Linked DNA regions of Macaca fascicularis. The protein of the gene in region 1 binds, or shares a complex with, the protein of each later gene. Links are inferred from orthologs where the notes say so. Each region holds a gene or a part of one and is shown on either strand. Other genes may lie near its edges.

Region 1 (4,246 bases):
TCTTGACAGAGGGCAGGAATTTGCTAATCTCTGCAAGTGAGGGGTAGTGGTGGAGGCTTTTCACACTCAAGGGGCAGTATTAGTTCACCCATTAGCAAACGTACTTAAAAATTACCTCTTGAGAGTTCCGCTGAATAAATGAAACAGTATATTTAAGTCAGTATTGTGCATGGGACATGTAAGCTCTTAATGTTATTAATTTCATTTTATTCCTTTAAGTTGGATCACTGCGGCGAAACGTGAGAATGTTTTCATGAATTTGGCTACACATTAAAGCGACCTCTCCAAATGGGTTGTCGTATTTTACATTGCTACCAACAATGTAACAGCCTTCTAGTTGCTTTATGTTCCCATATACGAAAGAGCCCCACCATTTGATTCTGTTTTTCAGTTTCTGACAACCTCACCTACTTTCTCTTTCAAGTTCATCTGCCCCATTTTTATTTTATTTATTTTTTAGACGGAGTCTCGCTTTGTCACCCAGGCTGGAGGCTGGGGTGCAGTGGCGCGATCTCGGCTCACTGCGACCTCCGTCTCCCGGGTTCAAGCGATTCTCCTGCCTCAGCTTCCCGAGTTCCTGGGACTACAGGCGCACGCCACCACGCCCGGCTAATTTTGTATTTTTAGTAGAGACCAGGGTTTCGCCATATTGACCAGGCTGGTCTCGAACTCCTGACCTCGTGATCCGCCTGCTTCGGGCTCCCAAAGTGCTGAGATTACCGACGTGAACCACCGCGCGCGGTCCATCTGCCCCATTTTATATCACCACTGCAGTCACAAACTAAGTTCTCCTAAGAACCACCAAGCGGCGCGTGGGCGGGCGCCTCATACCACTACAATTGCGACCTCACAACCTAACCCCGGGCGCCAACGCTCAATCCGGTTCTCGCGGGAAGATTCATGGTTTTTAAGCGAGAACTTCTAAGCCCACGCCACCTCCCAAGGGTCACGTGACGCGCCTGCGTCCTCGCCTCAAGGTTTTTTTCTCGTCGCATATTGGCTGTTAACTCGGCTACGGGGTGTCGCGAGGTGCATTCCGGAAGTAGGTCCTTTGACTTTTGCTTTCTTTACGGAAGAGAGTCACAACCCGGCGGTCGACGCTTAGCGGAAGTTCGTCAAGTCGCAGTTGCCCCCGCACAGCGGATGTGGGTCGCTACTTAGGTGACGCTGGGAAGTGTTTGCAGCCTCCGCCGCTGCCTTCTGGTTGAAGCATTATGGAGGGAGACAGGAAGAACAACAACAAACGGTGGTATTTCACTCGAGAACAGCTGGAAAATAGCCCATCCCGTCGATTTGGTGTGGACCCAGATAAAGAACTTTCTTATCGCCAGCAGGCGGCCAATCTGCTCCAGGACATGGGGCAGCGTCTTAACGTGTATCCTTGCGGCCTAGGCCTTCGGCCTTTGAGTTGGTCCCGCCATGCTCTGGCGTCTAGGTCTCAGGCTCTGGTGGGGGACGAAAGTGGGGAAGAAGGTGGGCAGAAGCTGGATGTCTAGTTGGGAGAGCCCACGATGGGGCGGGCTGAAACTCAGTTCGCGCTAGGGAAGCGAGGCGGAGTTGATTTCCCGCTCGCTCACCCGTGCCACCAACCTTGCTGGGCATTCGTATCCTTCCCGGCTTCGTGTTTTAACCAGCCCTTCCAACTCTCTCTTCATTGTGTTCTGATCGGCTCTGGTGACGTTAAGTTTCTCATTTTCCGCTGTGCCCTAGGGGTTTGGGTCTGGCAGAGGTTTCTCTGTTGAGGGCTGCTTCCGAAACCTAGTGTGTAAATTTCGAGAAATTCAGTACCTGAAAGTCTTATAAAGGGTGGTCTAGAATTAATGCCTCAGCCTTGGTCCAAAATCCATTCCTCATCTGCTAGCTGTTTAAGTGACCTGTCAAATTCTTGGTCGTCTTGTCTATAAAATGGGATGATACCTCTTGTGTTTGATTCTGTGTCCATCACAATGCTTTGCATTAAGATGCTCAATTAGTAGCTGCTGTTTTATAGAATTTCAGAGGAAAGATGTTAGTTTACGTTTGTAGGGGTTACCCACGAATCTAATGTTTTAAATCGTTTACAAAATACTGGGTCCTTAAGTTACTTAGAGTGGTGGTGTGTATTTCATTTTCTTTCTATTTCAAAAATGAGGTAACGGCCGGGTGCGGTGGCTCACACCTGTAATCTCTGCACTTCTGGGAGGCCGAGGCGGGTGGATCACCTGAGGTCAGGAGTTCGAGACCAGCCTGGCCAACATAATTAAACCCCTGTCTACTAAAAATACAAAAAATTACCCCGGCTTAGTGGCGGGCAGCTGTAATCCCAGCTAGTCAGGAGGCTGAGGCAGGAGAATCGCTTGAACCCGGGAGGCGGAGGTTGCAGTGAGCCGAGATCGCGCCACTACACTCCAGCTTGGGCAACAATAGTGAAACTCCGTCTCAGAAAAAAAAATTAAAAAAAAAATGAGGTATCCTCTCCCACATATTTTTGTTTGTCAGGAAATATACTTATTTTGTGGTGGAGAAAACTTGTATAGTTTTAAAGTTCTTTCCACTCTGTGTATGAAAATTTTCTTGGGTGCAGCTTCTATTTAAATGTGTGGCTGACAGTAATGTTTGTATCTTAAGGGTGTGTGCATCTCAAAATGGGTGTCTTTTTTATCGCCAGTTTGTTTCCTGCTGATGTCCAGATGTGTTTCCTAAGCATCCTATCAGTACGGAGTAAATCTTTTTGTTCGAAATTCTATTTCAGTGTATCCTTAAAACGCTTTCCTTTTTGTATGTGTGTTGTCATTAAGGTTGTCAGCCAGGCGCGGTGGCTCGCACCTGTAATACCAGCACTTTGGGAGGCCCAGGCGGGTCGATCACTTGAGGCCAGGACTTCAAGACCAGCCTGGCCAAAATGGTGAAACCCCGTCCCTACTAAAAATACAAAAATTAGCCATGTTTGGTGGCGAGTGCCTATAATCTCAGCTACTGGGGAAGCTGAGGCAGGAGAATCGCTCGAATTTGGGAGGCAGAGGTTTCAGTGAGCCAAGATGGTACCAGTGCACTCCAGCCTGGGCGACAGAGCGAGACTCTGCCCCCTCAAAAAAAGGCTGTTGTAATTTGGGACTGCATCATCTCTCTACCCCATATTGTCTACTGAAGTTTTTAGAAGTAAGGCATTTACAAGTTTTTTCTTCTTCTTCAGTTAATGAATTATCAGATCATTTCAGATGTTTCCTGTCCCGTGGATCACCACATGAGAAGGCTTGGTTGCCAGAGAGAAGTGGAACTGAAAATAATTTAGGCCGATTGTGGTGGCTCATGCCTGTAATCCCAGCACTTTGGGAGACTGAGGCGGGCGGATCACTTGAGGTCAGGAGTTCGACACCAGCCTGGCCAACAAGGTGAAACCCCATCTCTACTAAAAATACAAAAATTAGCCAGGCATGGTGGCCCAGCCGGTAGTCCCAGCTACTTGGGAGGCTGAGGCAGGAGAATTGCTTGATCCCAGGAGGTGAAGGTTTCAGCGAGCTGAGGTTGTGCCACTGCACTCAGCCTGGGTGACAGAACGAGACTCTGTCTGAAAAAAAAAAAAAGAAAGTAATTTAGTTGATGGAGTTTAGCAGGTGAGAGAGGTAGTGGAGACATACCTATGGGCCAGATCAGGGTGGGCGCTGTAAATCATATTAGATTATAGATATCTGCCACCATGCCTGGCTAATTTTTGTGTTTTTAGTCAAGGAGGGGTTTCGCCATGTTGCCCAAACTGGTCTCAAACTCCTGACCTCAGGTGATCCACCTGCCTCTGCCTCTACCCAAAGTCCTGGGATTACAGGTGTGAACCACCGTGCCCAGCCAGGCCTTATAAATTGGTTTTTTTTTTTTTTTTGGAGGTGGAGTTTTGTTCTTGTTGCCCAGGCTGGAGTGCAATGGTGTGATCTTGGCTCTCCGCAACCTCCGCCTCCCGTTTCAAGCGATTCTCCTGCCTCAACCTCCCGAGTAGCTGGGATTACAGGCATGCCCCACCACGCCCAGCTAATTTTCTATTTTTAGTAGAGACGGGGTTTCTCCGTGTTGGTCAGGCTGGTCTCGAACTCCTGACCTCAGGTGATCTGCACCCCCTTCGGCTTCCCAAAGTGTTGAGATTACAGGAGTGAGCCACCGCACCCGGCCGCCTTATATAGTTTTTTTAAAACTCTGTCTAGATCCATGCATCTTGATATGTTTGTTTATTCATTCAGTACATTTATATTAAATATTTGTTATGTGTAAGCCATTG
Region 2 (4,566 bases), on another chromosome or scaffold:
ACCGCGCCCACCCCAAGGGCTTCTTGCAGGAAGAGAGGGCATCCAGAGTCTAGGGGAGTGTGGAATCAGGGGAGAACCGCCCTGAACGCAGGAAGGCTTAGGGAGACAGTAGAGAGATTTGCATGGCCACAGCCTGGGAGGTGGGGTGTGAACTGGAAAGAGCTTCCAATGTCACATTCAGGTTCTTCGGGGACAGAGAGGCCAGACTGGGGGGCCAGGTCTCAGGATCCACCCGCAGAGGGCTGGAGAGGAGGGGGCAGATTGAAGCGGGGCAAAGGAGGCAGAAAAGACGGCTTTGCCGGAGGCTGTCCTTGGGCAGAGCTGGAGGGGGAATCTGGGGGCCGCTGGAGCCAGGAAGATGCAGGCGAAGGGATGGGCGCGATGGGGGAGGGAGATGGGGGGGTGAGTGGTGAGCTCCCGCCTGCATAAGGACAGCAAGCCTCCCCAGTGCTCTCCTCCTGGCCCAACCACGGATAGCCTGAGTCAAGAGAATCCCCTTCACAGTCAGACACCCAGCTTTGTCGCCGTGTGACCTTGGGCAAATGACCTCACCTCTGAGCCTCAATGTCCTCTTCTGCAAAATGGGTTAGTGATCCTGACTATGGGGCTGTTGATTCAGGATTCGGCGGGAACGCCCAGCACTTCCTGAGCACACAAAGAGTGCTGAGAAAATGGTAGCTGTTTTTTGCGATTATTGACCCGGGGCCTGATCAGCTCTGGCGCGACTCGGCGAAGGCGCGAGTCCTGCGGGTCCCATCCCTGCCTCCTGGAGAGCCAGGCTCCAGCGATAGAAGGCCCGGGCGTTGCTTGCTCGTCGCCTCCAGTGCCGCCGCGCCCCCTGGCGGCCGTCGGTTGCCATGTCAACGGAGGGTGGCGGGGACCGGGGGAGGCGGAGGCGGGGGCCGTTTTCTCCTCCCAGGGCCGGAGGACGCTCCCTCCGCGCCTCCCGCCTTCGCCTCTTGGGGGGGCACTCCGAGCCGGGGAGGAAGGGGCTCTCCGCGGCAGCCGGCATGTGGGGGTAAACTGAGGCACGCGGCTGGGCGCCCGCAGCCAGGTGCCGAGCGCGGGGCCCCACCTCCGAAGGCGGAGGAGGGGCCGCGGGCGGTGACGCGCCGAGGGCGGCCGGCGGACAGCGAGCGGGCGGGCGGGCGGGCGGTGGCGGCGGCGGCAGGTGCGGCCGCGGAGGGTGGGAGGGAGGAGGGCGGGGGCGGGCGGAGGAGGAGGGGAAGGCGAGGCCGGGCACCTCCCCCTTTATAACGCGCCCCCTCCCGGGCTCTCGGGCCGTCTCCTAGTCGGCTCTTCCCGTCTCGCCCCCTCGCCCGGCCGCCCCGGGCCCGGGCCCGGCCAGGGAGCCCCCAGGCCGCGGCTCGGGGGCTGCCCCCCCGCCCGCCGCCCCGCGCAGCCCGGCGGAGGCGGCGCCGTCGGAGGAGGAGGAGCAGGGCACTGCGGCTGGCCCCGGATCGGGCGCCAGAGCGGCAGCAGCTTCGGCAGCAGCGGCGGCCCGGGCCCATGCAGCGGGACGCGCCACCCCGAGCCCCAGCTCCGGCGCCCCGGCTCCCCGCGCCCCCGATCGGGGCCGCCGCCAGTAGTGGCGGCGGCGGAGGCGGGGGCAGCGGCGGCGGCGGAGGCGCCTCTGCAGCTCCGGCTCCCCCTGGCCTCTCGGGAACTACAAGTCCCAGGGGGCCTGGCGGCGGGCGGCGGGCGGAAGAGGCGGGGTCGGCGCCGCGAGGCCGGAAGTGGCCGTGGAGGCGGAAGTGGCGCGGCCGCGGAGGGGCCTGGAGCGCGGCGGCGGCGGGACCCGGAGCGGGAGCGGCAGCAGCAGCGGCTGGGGGCGGCGGCGGCGCGTTGGAGGCGGCCATGGCAAAGCAGTACGACTCGGTGGAGTGCCCCTTTTGTGATGAAGTTTCCAAATACGAGAAGCTCGCCAAGATCGGCCAAGGCACCTTCGGGTAAGGCTGGGCCCCTCGGGGCCGGGAGCCGTGGGCCTGCACCCCTAGGGCGGACGTCGGGATGCCCCGGGCCCCGCCCGAGTTGGTAGAGAAACCGTCTGTCCCCGGGCTTGCCCACTGGTCTTTAGGCCGCGCCGCACCCCGCCCCGGCCTGAAGGAGCCGGCTGGTGGGGAGGAGCCTGAGGCCGGTGGTGGGGGCGGGGAGGGGCTGCAGAGAGGCGCCCGTGAGGGGAACGGGATCTCTCCAAGAGACGCCCAAGTGAGGAGAAGGGACTGAGAGAAGGAAGCAGAAGCTCCGAACGAGACAGGGTGCCGGGTGGCGGGGTAGCCGCGTGCCCTGGGTACTTACCCCAGCCCCGCCCGGGAATCTTTTTGCTGCTGCCCCTCCTCCGGTAGTGGGGGAGGGGCGGGCCCTGCGGAAATCGCCTGATGAGCTCTCGGGTCTCCCTTTCCGCCTGCAGGGAGGTGTTTAAGGCCAGGCACCGCAAGACCGGCCAGAAGGTGGCTCTGAAGAAGGTGCTGATGGAAAACGAGAAGGAGGGGGTGAGTACGGATCGGGCGTGCGGGCCAGCCGTCTAACTGCCCAGGACCCCGGGTCGGTTTTCCACCCTGCTGCTTCTAGGAGTCTCAGGTTGAGATTTAATTTTTTTCGTAGTAGTTCAGAAATTTCCAGGGAATTTGGCCTCCACCCTAAAACTAAATGCTTCATTCTTAGGCAGTTATGGGTGAGACCGGGAGGGGGAGTTGATGCATGCATCGTGTGCACTTTAGTTCACGAAGTTAGGAAGCCTTTAAACACCTTTTTTTAGTGTTAAATTTTGCTTAATGTTAAAGAAAGATACATATGCATGCAAATTTTTGAAAAGTGACTAATACTCAGTTATTTAATGTGTTTAAAAGGAGCGGTCCCTCCACCCCATCTTAGCTCAAGTACAACGTCCCATAAACCTTCCTTTTCCTGATGTGCTTTAGCGAGGACATTTTTGAATCGTCATGTTTGTTGCCAACGAAACAGCCATAGAGCTGAAGTTTGAAGGCTGAAACCGCCGAGCATTTAGTGGCTAATAGCAAAGTATTGCTGTTTCAGTTTGTTGTCTCAAATTATCTCCTTGAAGTGTGCATGCTCCTACTATATCCATTTTACAGGCAGAGCTTCTGAGACAGCTGGTTTCAGAGCCCATGATCTTGCTCTGTCTCCCAACTTGCCTCTCAATATAGACCCCAGGGCTGGGCTCTGTACTGCGCTCACTCTTGACCACTTTCCCCTCTCTCCCACCCAGTTCCCCATTACCGCCTTGCGGGAGATCAAGATCCTTCAACTTCTAAAACATGAGAATGTGGTCAACTTGATTGAGATTTGTCGAACCAAAGGTAAGTTGTTTGGATCTTATGAGGAGATGACACTTGTAGCCTAAGGTTTTGTTCGTAAAGTTGGAACTAGACCCACCTAAACTGCCTCCTCTTAACTCAGATGGACCCATGGTGACTGCTTTCTCTGGTCCTCTTTCATCGTAGCTGGTGCTTCCTCGGGGTCTGCCCTGGCCCAGAAGAGGCACTCAGAAAATATTTGACCAGTGAAGGAAGGAACAGACAGATGCTCTGGAGGGCTTGGGTGCCCATGGGTTGGAGCAGGAAGAAAGAAACTGGTTGTGGGAAAGTGTGTTGGGTGTGGCTTTCTTGACTTTTTCTTCCTTGTATTCCTGCCTCAGCTTCACCCTATAACCGCTGCAAGGGCAGTATATACCTGGTGTTCGACTTCTGCGAGCATGACCTTGCTGGGCTGTTGAGCAATGTTTTGGTCAAGTTCACGCTGTCTGAGATCAAGAGGGTGATGCAGATGCTCCTTAACGGCCTCTACTATATCCACAGGAACAAGGTGGGGGCGAGAGCTGGGAGGAGGACCCAGGCTTGGGCTGGCCTTGGCTCCCACTCCCGGGTGGATATCACTGAAGGAGCCACTCTTGCCCTTCTTGCAGATCCTGCATAGGGACATGAAGGCTGCTAACGTGCTTATCACTCGTGACGGGGTCCTGAAGCTGGCAGACTTTGGGCTGGCCCGGGCCTTCAGCCTGGCTAAGAACAGCCAGCCCAACCGCTACACCAACCGTGTGGTGACACTCTGGTACCGGCCCCCGGAGCTGTTGCTCGGTGAGGACTCCCGAGCGGGCCGAGGGGGGTGAGGGCCAGGCATCTACCTGGCCCCCGCCCCCCCACTGCCAGGGCTTCTTGAGCTGCCGGCCCTGGGGCATTGAGTCTCAGGAGGCCTCCGGGCTCAAGGGGCCCTCCTGGTGCGCTCTTCTTCCCAGGGGAGCGGGACTACGGCCCCCCCATTGACCTGTGGGGTGCTGGGTGCATCATGGCAGAGATGTGGACCCGCAGCCCCATCATGCAGGGCAACACGGAGCAGCACCAACTCGCCCTCATCAGTCAGCTCTGCGGCTCCATCACCCCTGAGGTACGGGGTCCCGGTCCCCCGGCAGAGGAGTGGGGAGTGGAATGGAGGGAGCGCTCCTCTCTGGAAGGGAGGCTGGTTTGGTGACAGGGCCTGCCCTTGAGAGCCACACAGGCTATGCGCCAGTCTTGGTTCCATCAGCCATTCTGTGGCCTTGGGCAGAAC

The links.
Region 2: the proteins of CCNT1 (region 1) and CDK9 are in contact, whole or in part, in a crystal structure (PDB 3BLH), measured with the Homo sapiens proteins. The link is inferred for Macaca fascicularis from reciprocal best matches to the Homo sapiens genes CCNT1 and CDK9. Residues at the interface, in NP_001231.2 of Homo sapiens: Arg5, Lys6, Arg11, Trp12, Arg26, Ile72, Gln73, Phe78, Phe89, Leu90, Lys93, Val94, Pro98, Lys99, Lys100, Leu101, Val134, Glu137, Ile139, Leu141, Gln142, Thr143, Gly145, Phe146, Glu147, Leu148, Thr149; in NP_001252.1 of Homo sapiens: Val8, Glu9, Cys10, Pro11, Phe12, Cys13, Lys56, Glu57, Gly58, Phe59, Ile61, Leu64, Ile67, Lys68, Gln71, Leu72, Leu81, Ile82, Glu83, Ile84, Arg86, Ile99.

Annotation. Positions count from the first base shown.
Region 1 is NC_088385.1:55,529,447-55,533,692, reverse strand, and holds the start of CCNT1 (cyclin-T1), read left to right. Parts: upstream 1-1,156; 5' UTR 1,157-1,214; coding exon 1,215-1,375; intron 1,376-4,246. UniProt on the Homo sapiens protein: Regulatory subunit of the cyclin-dependent kinase pair (CDK9/cyclin-T1) complex, also called positive transcription elongation factor B (P-TEFb), which facilitates the transition from abortive to productive elongation by phosphorylating the CTD (C-terminal domain) of the large subunit of RNA polymerase II (RNA Pol II).
Region 2 is NC_088389.1:16,211,055-16,215,620, reverse strand, and holds the start of CDK9 (cyclin-dependent kinase 9), read left to right. Parts: upstream 1-1,742; 5' UTR 1,743-1,857; coding exon 1,858-1,949; intron 1,950-2,410; coding exon 2,411-2,492; intron 2,493-3,229; coding exon 3,230-3,320; intron 3,321-3,658; coding exon 3,659-3,825; intron 3,826-3,925; coding exon 3,926-4,097; intron 4,098-4,255; coding exon 4,256-4,404; intron 4,405-4,566. UniProt on the Homo sapiens protein: Protein kinase involved in the regulation of transcription.